2 linked regions of the Neodiprion lecontei genome follow. The protein of the gene in region 1 interacts with the protein of each later gene in a pairwise test. Links are inferred from orthologs where the notes say so. Each region holds a gene or a part of one and is shown in the gene's direction. Other genes may lie near its edges.

What was found.
Region 2: the proteins of guanine nucleotide-binding protein G(i) subunit alpha (region 1) and regulator of G-protein signaling loco interact in a two-hybrid assay, tested with the Drosophila melanogaster proteins (2 studies listed by BioGRID). The link is inferred for Neodiprion lecontei from reciprocal best matches to the Drosophila melanogaster genes Galphai and loco.

Annotation. Positions count from the first base shown.
Region 1 is NC_060264.1:31,887,066-31,893,856, reverse strand, and holds guanine nucleotide-binding protein G(i) subunit alpha, read left to right. Parts: upstream 1-1,838; 5' UTR 1,839-2,334; coding exon 2,335-2,455; intron 2,456-3,527; coding exon 3,528-3,712; intron 3,713-3,924; coding exon 3,925-4,211; intron 4,212-4,353; coding exon 4,354-4,834; 3' UTR 4,835-6,053; downstream 6,054-6,791. UniProt on the Drosophila melanogaster protein: Guanine nucleotide-binding proteins (G proteins) are involved as modulators or transducers in various transmembrane signaling systems.
Region 2 is NC_060265.1:25,279,428-25,284,594, forward strand, and holds the start of regulator of G-protein signaling loco, read left to right. Parts: upstream 1-2,115; 5' UTR 2,116-2,457; coding exon 2,458-3,102; intron 3,103-3,454; coding exon 3,455-4,720; intron 4,721-5,167. Other genes in the region: beta-1,3-galactosyltransferase 5-like, read right to left, coding at 1-898. UniProt on the Drosophila melanogaster protein: Acts as a regulator of G protein signaling (RGS).

The DNA of each region.
Region 1 (6,791 bases):
TTGAAATAGCTGTGTTCAACATTATCAACGATTTAAAACAGATTACAATGTCGTTAAAATGAAATTTAAATTCGTTACGCAGACTAAAATAAATTACGCAATCGATTCGCGATATCCTTATTTAGTGTATAGAGACTGTATATCTCCGGAACAAATTCATACTGTTCATTTCCATTCAATTCAAGGTTACTCGCTCAAGAATTTCCATCATTGTCAATCTCTGTCGACCTAGTTTTCTACCCAGCTTTCCATACTGGATATTTTACTAAACTGCTCGAAGTAAAATAATTGACACATTCGAACGGCAGAGACTTGAGTTTTCCTTTCGATTGTTTCATTTTGATAAAAAAAAAAACTCAACCGATGCAGCAGTTCTAATTTCAGGTTTACTATAAATGTATTGCATAATAGAATCGGACGCTTCTTTCAATGTCATGTAACATAAGGAGACGCAAGGCTACAGAGCGATTGGAACTGGGACTAAAAAAAAAGTGTCTTGAGAAAAATCCGGTCCAACGAACGGAATAACTATGCATAAATGAATGACAACGTGCTCTGTTGTAACCCAAGATATACCTACAGACGCTTGCCAATTTGGTAAATTGCTATTTTGACGACAGAACAACGAGCATCCTTACACGGGACGCTGATTTTAATCCTGTCAATATAACGAGTGCAAAATTATTGTAATAGGTTGCCGTCATTAAAGTTCTGTGCTGCGTTTTAAATATTGATACAATCACGAGAATTTGTACGTATTAACCGCCACAAAAAGCAGGTTTATGAATATGGAATACAACATTCTACGGACTATTTTAATGTTGAAACTTAAAATAACTTCAGTATGAATGCGAGTTTTTTTTTTAATATTTGTAATTGAATACAAGACATAACTCATCATTTTATGATTAATGACACCGCTATTTGAATTTTATGCACTTTTATACGGTGTCAGTTTGCACCAGGAATGTAAGTTTTTCAGCCCGCTAGATAGATTGCTCGTGGGACTGATGGGTGAACTGTAATACTGACATTTCGTGAAAAATATAAAATGCAATTTTCTAAATGTATTTAAAAGTAAATCAAATCGTTTCAATTCATTGACATTTTTTCATCTTTGAATAAAGAAATTTTATTCTTTGTCTCGAGTAATTTCCTCATTAAACAGAGGTATCTTTTCAACGTTTAATTAACGCGATGATGAAAGAACGTGGCATTCCAATTGGCTACCCACCGTGTAGCTTCACTTTCATGAAGCGACTACGCGCATGACTGTACTTTTTTAAATAGATAAACAAGAACTCGAAATTAACGGTAATACACAATTGTAATGCAACTGGCCACCGTTCTTCAACGAATGGTAAACTTTTGAAAACAATTTCGGAGCGAAACTAATTGGTAGCACTAAAAACTCTCTAGTACAGAGGCAGAGCTAGTCACGAACTCGGTTGTGCAAAAGAGATAAAGGATTGTTGACAAGACTGGGAATAAATTTCGGAACGCAACCTTAGGCAAGAAAAAAGATCTTAAAACAAATAGACGTGGAGGAAGCCTGGTATACCCTTTCGTGTAAGTGGAAAACGGCATGGAGAGGGTAGTGGTAAGACTAGTTCCCTTCTTTGTCTAACGCAGTTATAGAGAGATAGTAGAGAGAGAGAGTATCTGGTCTTAGTACGTCCCTCTCTCTCTACGGCTCGACACTCTCTCGGCATGATAAAACGGGTGCTGATTATATAAATGTCCGCCACGCGTTAAAATAGCGCTAGAATCGTTGAGTACAAAATGTCGAGTTGGTAACCCGTCTAGATCTTTCTTACACATCCAATGCTTGTCGAGTCTAAAATGGAGCGCGTCGGCGCATAGTTGCGTGATAAGTCATTGGTGTGGGCGCGTCAAATGTTTTAAACATAAAGTCGAGCAGCAGACCCGTGTAGTATTCGTGTTAAATAATGAACAATAATTTGTGGAATAAAAGAGGCGAGGGGGTGGACGGTGAGCTGTAATAGATGTTTATTGGGGAATCGGTAAACCCGGACTGCGACCAAGCCGTCGTATGTGCGGATATACGTGTGTAATAGGAGTTCGGTCGGTACTTGGGGCCTCCGTCTTCTGTCGTTGGCTGCACTCGGTGCACGGGGCGGGCGGTTCCCACACGCAATACAAGGCGAAGCAACAAGTGTCACCCGGAGTTTGATTCGACCGATATACGATTTGCGGCGCCGATCTTATCCTGGCCGATTTCACGCAGACCTTACTTCTGCCAGGCGTTCCAGTCACTCGAAACGAGGACTATTTGAACGATTTATTGAACGTGATATAGCAAAGAATCGAAAAATGGGATGCGCCGTTAGCACTACCGGCGACAAGGAGGCTGCCGAGAGGTCTAAGAAAATTGACAAAGATCTCAGAATGGATGGCGAACGCGCTGCCAGCGAGGTCAAACTCCTGCTTCTTGGTAAATTATCATCTAAACACAAAATAACGATGTGTTGAACTAAATTTTATGCAAGTTTCTCTTCGTTCCGCGGCTCGTCGCTATCGCGTCCGAGACCCGTTCATCGTTTTTTCCGTCGTTCCGCGATTCGCGGACATGAAAAAACAAAAGAGAAACGAAACAAAAACGGACGAACTGTGCGTAAATACTGCTTGTTTTCGCACGCTTAATTTTTACACATCCCGTGCAAATTGCTAACGTGTTACCATTTACTTTTTGTTTCTTCTCGGTTTGTTTGATAGCGTTTTATCTCTCCTCGTTTACTGAGAACGGGACTAACGCGACCATGTTCTCTTAATTGAAATGGTAAAAACAGCCAATTAACGTATGATTCAATGGTATAATTAAGGCCGCGATGAATCCGGCCGTCAAAACGATGCGAAAAATTATTCTTTCATCTTTGTTTACCCCATTTCTTCTTATCGTAACTCGTCGTTCTTCTAAATTACCTTCTCTTACACTATATTGTCAAATTGAATTTACCAAAAATTATTATTATTATTAGAAATTGACCTAACTGAGGTTTTTTCACCACTGGTCATTACACAAATGGGTTTAGAACTTTTCTAATTTCTCTCATCTTATTTCTCATGGCAATGAGATGAGATAGCAAAAAACATCCTATCCTCCTTAATGCTACACAGGATATTGCAATGCATGTATCCACACAGCATGGTTGATTGTAGTAAAATAGCTGATTGATGTCTGCCTGTATACACATGGCTTCTCGTCACTAGATGATTCAGCTGAGGGAAGGGAACACTCATGGATTTCACAATTATTAAATTTCACTATTATCTTATCTCATGGAAAGCTGGTGGTGACATATTATTTCAATTATGAGCTGAGAAGAATTATGATTAATATGTTGAAATACCTGACGAATTATGTTTGCAACAAAAAAAAAAAAATTTTCAATGACCAAAACTTCAATTAATGTTCCTAAGCTACAAGAAACATGTGACAATTTTTTTTTCCCCCCGATCTATTTCAAGGTAATTTTTACAACAATTCATTTCATTTTTATTCCAAGGTGCTGGAGAGTCCGGAAAATCGACGATCGTTAAACAGATGAGAATCATTCATGAAACCGGGTACAGTAAAGAAGAATGCGAAGAGTATAAACCGGTTGTTTATAGCAATACTATACAGAGTCTGATGACAATTATCAGAGCCATGGGTCAGCTAAGAATTGATTTTGCAGACCCAAATAAGGTGGTGCGTAAATTTTTCGAAAGCAACATGTAAACGTGTTTTAATGACTGAAAGTTAATATTATTTTCCACTCCAATTTTCGTTAAATGAATTACTCTACTGTTAAAAATGATCAAAATTGTTCAAATTGCATCCCGGGATCTTTTATCTGATGAAAAATAAACTTTTGCTAATATTTATGGTATTCATGCATTAATAAATTCGTCACCTTCTAGGATATTGCTAGGCAATTTTTCACTCTAGCATCGGCAGCAGAGGAGGGTGACCTGACGGGAGAGCTAGTTTTATTAATGAAGAGATTATGGCAGGACGCAGGAGTACAACTTTGTTTCACACGTAGTAGAGAATATCAGCTCAATGATTCGGCGGCATATTACCTCAATGCTCTTGATCGCATTGCCCAACCCCATTACATACCGACACAACAGGATGTTCTCAGGACCAGAGTCAAAACGACAGGAATCGTTGAAACGGAGTTTTCGTTTAAAGGGATTGACTTCAAGTGAGTTCTTCAATCTTTCAAACATCATATTAATATCAATTTTTGTCTCTAGCACTGCCATGAATATGTCGCCACAGCCCAATATTGAATTATCTATGGTCAATCCAAGTTCTCGGGAATTACTTTCTTATTCTCTTTCCAGAATGTTTGATGTTGGTGGACAAAGATCAGAACGTAAAAAATGGATTCACTGCTTCGAGGGGGTAACAGCGATAATATTCTGCGTTGCACTGAGTGGTTACGATTTAGTCTTGGCCGAGGATGAGGAGATGAACAGGATGATAGAATCAATGAAGTTGTTCGATTCGATATGTAACAGTAAATGGTTTGTCGATACGTCGATAATTCTGTTTTTAAACAAGAAAGATCTGTTTGAGGATAAAATAACGAGGAGCCCTTTGACCATATGCTTTCCTGAATATAAAGGGCCGAATACATACGAAGATTGCGCATCATACATTCAAATGAAATTTGAAAACTTGAACAAAAGAAAAGACCGTAAAAAAATATACACGCACTTCACATGTGCGACTGACACCAATAACATTCAATTCGTATTTGATGCTGTGACTGATGTTATAATTAAGAACAACTTGAGTAACTGCGGCTTATTATTAAGCTGAACAATTTCAGAATCCGTCGATGATGCCGATTAAATCAAAACATTCTGAATCCGCGACACGTCTATAATTTTCACCTCTAATACTGGTTATTAATGGTTGATAAATCGAGGGCGTTCATCAGTTTGGAATGCTTTAAAAACTCGTGCGAATTGTCTGTCCGGATCAAAAATATAAATTTTTCACCAAATCTCATCAGGCATTTAGTTTTTAGACATTAGGTGTTTAATTAAAATCTTCATTCCTAGTACGCGATACTTAATCAAAATGAATCTAATTTAAATCATAATCCACGTTTGATAGAAAAAACTATTTTTTTTTTTTTTTTCGAAACGCACGTTTTTACCGCACAGAATCTCCGCGCAAAACTCGTCTTTATAGTTTATAGAAAATCATAGCATGGCACTTTTCTAATGTTTCTTTTTTTTATACTTTGTATATTAGAAGTAAATTAGCTTTATTGCGCATAATATACTCGATATATCGTTTTAATAACAAACTATAACACGGTCGTCTTTTGTCAGTTTCTGAACACCAATTTTTAATGTCTGGAATTATTAATCAAAAATTGATGAGATCGTAGGGTGCTTAAAAAGACTGTGTATTCAGTATTTCATTTTTTGTTTCTACTTTTAAATTGGAAGATTTCATTATTCTATTTCGGCCAAAAATAACACGACAGAGAGAAAGCGTCGTAAAACCCGAAACTTCTCGCGAAAATTTTAATAAAAATATTTAAACGTCATTGAAAAAATGTATAAAAGTTTTACTCAATTGAAAGAAAACTATGTTTCCTCAAATTGAATATAAAAACAAGCGATTTTAAACAACAATTTATCATTGTTTAACTGGAAATTGACAACGTGCCTTTTTTTCGCTTCATCGTACAAGTTTCTATGATTTTTTCGATGATGTTTGATGAAATTCATCGCCGTAAGCCAGATTGCAAGAAGATAAAACCAATATTAGACTAGATATATGAAACTTTTTTTAAACACCCTAGATGTATGTATGTCTTTTAAGTAGCTCCAGCAAATTTGGTTTTGTTCCGATCGTGTTGTAGTTTAAAAAATAGTCTGAAACAATCGTCTCTGTATATAATTTATTATAGTGGAAGAAGAAAGAAAAATGAAAGAAAATGTTGCAAAAAAAAAAAGAAAAAGAGAAAGAGAAAGAATCTACTGGAATCTCAAATCTAGTACCTAAAATCTCTAAAATGGACCAATTTGTGTGTTAGTTAATAATAATAACAATAATAATAATATCTGGTTTAATTCATGAATTCCAGTTTCGTCTATTATGAAAATAGATTTGTTTTCGAAGTATTTTTTTACGTGTACAGTTACGTGTATGTTTGTTTGTTCGTTTTTTTTTTGTTTCTCATGCAATAACAAAATATGTGTACTTCATAATTCACGGTAATAACAACAATAATCAATATTACTGTTGGACCTTTCTAGCTGTATATTCGCGTTGTCCGAGAAGTACGACATTCCATTCCATTCTATTTCATTTGCACGATCTGATTGTTGAACTACAGGCTACCAAGCAATCCCTTCATCTTTAATTTTCAAAACACTGGATACTGTTTTCATGAAATCAGATAAACCATATTTAAAATGTCATCTTGTCGATATTTTGCATGGGGTTTAGATTGACTATTTAACGTTGTTGGAAAGAGAAGTGAAATTGAACAACTTTTTTCTAGCAGCCCTATGCTTTTTTCATATTTTAATTACATAGCTTATGAACTAACGTCAAATTTTCGGAGCTTATAACGTTATTTGTAACACAATGTAATCGACCTGTAGACAAATACATACTTGATAATTTTTTTATATTCTATTAATACTGTATGTTAATACTTTTCAAATCAATCCGTCTGAATTATTTTCCCAATAAAATTACCCACAAAAAGAAACGAATGACAAGCGGAATCTTTTTGTATCTGCATATCTCG
Region 2 (5,167 bases), on another chromosome or scaffold:
ATTTTTTCGTACGAGCTTTCAAGCAACAATTCAAATATTCATTATTTGTTGTATAAATTTCATGTATATCGTGAAATTTTACACCTAATTCCTCTCTAATGATACCTGTAAGAAATAGATCATCTATCCAAAAATACTTGGGATAAATCTGTGCAACATCAACCAAATCTTTGGCAGTTTTTAGAGTCGTTACATATAACCAACCAGATAAAAAGTCTGGATAGAAGTCCGCAATATACTCATCCCTAGTAACGTACCATTTGTTCATTGGTTCGCGTATGGGACTCATATTTCTCAGTACGTAACCCATCACAATATTATGCGGTATACTGGCTGCTTTTATTACATCTATAATTTTGTAAAGGTCCACTACAATGTCATGATCCATTTTCATGATGTACGAAGCATTTTTACAATATTGCGTAGCCCATTTCAGGCCCATTACATGTTTGTAGGTAAGATTTTTGTATGCCTCAATAAAGTTGCCTTGAATAATGTCATTGTATCGCCGTGCTTCATCTAAAATAGCATTTTGGGTGACGTGGGTTTTATTTTGAACGTCATCGTGTAACAATGCTAATAAAAATATTCTTCTAACTCCCAATTCTTCCAATTCAGACTCGGAGTAAGCCCTGCGTAACGCACTTCTGGCCGACACATCAGCAGCGTACGAAGTGACAACCCAAACAAGAAAGCTAGTATCGCAGTCAGTGTTTATTACATATCGAAAGGGATTTAAATTCAACAAATTTCCTCTATCGATTTGGCTACTGTTGATCTTTCGAAAGTAAACTGGACTCGATTTTCTAACCACAGAAAATTGTTTAAACGTTATGTAAAAGAACACTACGATCAGTGTCCAAAAGATTACATAAGGCACCCCACGTCTTATATACATTTTGTGCTAAGGAGTGTTTCGCGAACCACAAATCGACAAAAATTAACCTTTCTTTACATCTAACAAATGCAAGTTTTTAAAATAGTCGCTCTGCCTCCCTCTTCCGCCACTCCCATATTTTCATAACACGCAATGCACGACCGAAGTTTGATGTTTTCCCGCGGTGCGAGAGAGAAACAGGAGGAGAGAAACATTGATTCGCGTTTGAATAATGCTAGCAAAAAAAGATGAGTACCAGGTCAGTGCGTTCACTGAGGAATATATCTTCAGAATATATCTTCATCAACGCTCAGCGCATCTTCTAAAGCAAATCCTCAATCGTACAACTGATGAAAGGGGTAAATTATTTCGCGGTTACAGCAGCGAGAAATGATTAGTTGGATGCAATATGGATGCAAGACTTACCTAAAGAATCGAAGAATGTTGTCCCGACTCACTTCGCTTGTACTCGCAGTTGCACGGTTGTATCCAGTATGCGCGAAATCACTACCAAACTTAGCCACTAATCTCGTATCAACTTTTTCACTATATCCCTTTTCCAAGAATTGCGATGTTCGTCAGGTTCAGTTAGCTATTTGATCGAAGCCTTTAGAATTCCCTTATAACCCTGATTCACATTCTGCATCATTATTATCAGATTATTATGAGAACTGTCACACTTCCGTGCATTTACTCTTCTTGTCGTGACGTATTCTCGGTAATAATTACTCCGCAACTGTGTGTCCACATAAAATTCCGAATAAGTCAGGAATTGGAGTGTTTATGTTGAGCTAAACGCACCGAACGCGGCGGTAATCTCCCTACAACTAAACTATATGCCTAATCCAGTTCGTAGATCCAGATTCAAATGTGTTGTTATTGGAAACGCGGTAGAAGATGAACCACTCATCGTCACTTATTTCGAAACCGGTCTTCTGAATGCCTCGTACGGCGGTAAAGCAGAATGCTGTGCTTACGTTATATACCAATCATGCCTCTAATTTATAAAGGCATTTGCATAGGGGGCAGCACACTAACACCTAGTTCGCCGCATAAACTTAAAGTGTGTCCAAAAGCCAGCGTCAGAGATGCTCATCTCTGTTATCGTGGTTCATCTACTGACATTCTTGCGTCTTCGTCGTATCCCTGGATTGTTGATTTGCTTCGTCTCTCTTCTGCCGGATTTCCAGCGTGTAACAAACTGCAGTCCTAGCGATGGGAACGCTGAACTGGCATACCTATATGCTATAAAGTTTGTGGAGCTGCGTTCAGCCGTGGTTCCATATTCCTCACCCGAGGATAGAAATTAACATTAGAAAGAGAAAGGTCAAGCGAACTGTTGGACGTTGCGAGGGAGATAGGAAATACGCGTTACTTCCCGGGTGGGGAATCTGAATGCAGCTTTGACGGTGACAAGTGTGTGTTGTAACATAAGTATACGCGGTGTGTTAAACAATATGAAATTTAGCTTGATACAATGTTACGAGAATTCTTGGCAGTTATAAACGCTCCTCGACGCCTCCACGGCTCGTCGTAACATATTGCAAGGGCATCGGGTGTAGGTGCGATAAAATAAACGAATGAATATGCACCATAACAGGAGGAAGAAAAAGCGGGTGAATTACGGCGTCAGAGTTGTCGAATTACTTCGCGGCAGCAAGGGTTTTGGCTTCACGATATCTGGTCAGCAGCCCTGCATACTGAGTTGCATCGTCCAGGGAAGTTCGGCGGACAATGCTGGTCTCAGATCTGGAGATTATCTTGTGGCTGTAAATGGTCACAGCGTGAGCAAAATTCCTCACGACGAGGTTGTTCGATTGATAGGAAACTCCAAGGGATTTTTGAGATTACAAATTGCTGAAAATTACTACTCCGACTCGTCCGATGAGGAGGGACTGGCGACGGTCCGATCCAAACCAAAATACTCGCACAAGCTAAGAACAAACACCGTCACCCCTGCTCCGGTACAATGTGCGATAGCCAAAGTTGTTCGAGACTTGCACAGTGGGGCCATGTTTGACGCACTTAATCGCTCGTCTCAAAACAAAATACAGTGCAGCCACGCATCCCTTCATCATCGATGGAATATGGCCAGCCCTCTACCACCGCCACCTCCGCCTTTATCTTCAAAACGAGACACCGAAAAGATTGTACATCGCACCATTGTTGGTTATCTAGGCACCATCGATATACCCAATCAATTACCTCCATCCTCAATGATGCAGGTAGGCTTACCGCTAATTGGAGAATTTGAATTGGAACTTACTTCTGTACGAAAACCTTGACCCTTGCAGTAGCTTTGTTACTTTTCTCATGCATTGCAGTTGAACATGTAAATACTTGAACAACAAACACGACAAGATGTTCGGAATCTTCTTTAAGGAATCACCATTATCTTAAACCTTAGTAGTAACTGTTTGTTCTTTTAAATGTAATTGCTATTGACGATGAAACATTAGAGGTAGACTTTACAAGTCTGTGGTCACTTCTGTAACAAAGATTGCAAAAACTGCTTGAAATTCAAAATTATACTGATTGTATCGACCCAACAATCTTAATTACATTGTTATTTTACAGGTCCTAAAGAAGTGTGTGAAAAGACTGAAAGCAGAAAAGAGAAATCCCACAACGGTACTTCTAACAATCCATGTCGCTAACATAAAATTGACAAATTCCGATAATAAAGTGATAGCGGAATATCCATCCTTTCGAATAGTATTTTGCAACTCGTTTTCTGAACTGGATAAACAATATTTTGGTATTCTAACAAAGTCGGTAAAAGACAATGACAATATAGTGTCAAATTCGTGCCATGTGTTCACCATATACTATAAGCTGATAGACCATGCCGTACATTCCAATACTTGTAACATATTTGGATTCACATGCACAAAAACGTCGGAGTTAAATGTCTGCCAAGAATTTCCCGACAGTTGCAACAGTCTAATTGGTGCCATACAAACACTCTACATATCAGACACCGACAGCGAATCTAATCCTTACAACGACGAGGCGAGGCATCGTCAAGCAGCTTCTCCTCAACCAAGTAACGTCAGTACCTCCACGGCTCATTCTAGCAACAGCGACTCCGGGATAGGTTTTAAGGATGACTATGGAAATCAATCGGATCGAAATATGACGGCTGATTTTCACGATCGAAGACAGTATTTGCCAAATTTGCATCTCAGAGATTCCGCGATCGTTTCAAATCAAAAAAACGGCATCCGACCGAGGCTAAAGCCAGCCAATGAGTCCTCAGGGTCTAAATTAACAGTCAGAGCAATACCAGATGTTAGATGGATCGATGATGTTAAAGGTAGCCAATTCAAGGATGCTGATTTCTCGTATGACGCCAACGGAAAACGCGGTGGAATAAATTTTAGTAAAATTCCCAACGTCGGAGAAGGATGCGGTATGTCGATGGCATCTGGTCCGTGTGGGGATGAAGACCGGGATAGGAGGGGGAGCAACACCTGTTTGGGACCATCTGCTCCGCCTATACCCAGCTTGGGGTTGCCTAGTACGATGGCTGCCTCATCCGAGGTAACTCGGGAGGACAATAATATTGGAATAAACGACGCGCTCGAATGGCGGGAGAACGTGGACTGCAGTTTGAGCAACGAAAAACTAATGCTCGGAAATTTTACCGACGAAGACCTCACCAAGCTGAGTCCGAAGGTTTACAGTATTTCGAAGTCTCTGGTGCACAGTTTGGAGGATTTGAAACCGACAATGGAATGCACTTCCCTTCTTCATTCCCATTCCAACAAGAGCGAAAAACCGCGTTGGGGAAGCTTGCAAGAGATACGAAACGTCGGGAATTGTAATTCCAATGCATGCTTGGTGAGTATTTATTTTTCAAAATTAAAGTACATCTTATCCATCGCATTACCGCGCATGAAATTCGGTTTTCAACATAGCGAATGATGAATGCCGAATTTTTTTTCCTCTCACCTGATTATAAATCACCGATGTGTGTGAAACGCGAATAAAATGAATCCGGTCCGGTAATTCGTGAACAGTGTGGGTAGGGAAATAATTTTTTTTCCTCTATACTCAAGACTGCCCTCTCGCCGTATTTTATTCGTTGAGGAGACACACTTTAACGGAAGAATTTATGAACGAGGACTCAAAGTATGCAAAGGTCACATCCTGACCTCTCACGCTTGTCAGCAATTGTCATAGCCTCAGTGCACGCAACCTAAACCCACGTTCCGAAAATCTGTAAATTCTTTCACACGGACATGAAATTTACGACCGTTCAAACTTATTTTGATACATAGAGACAAT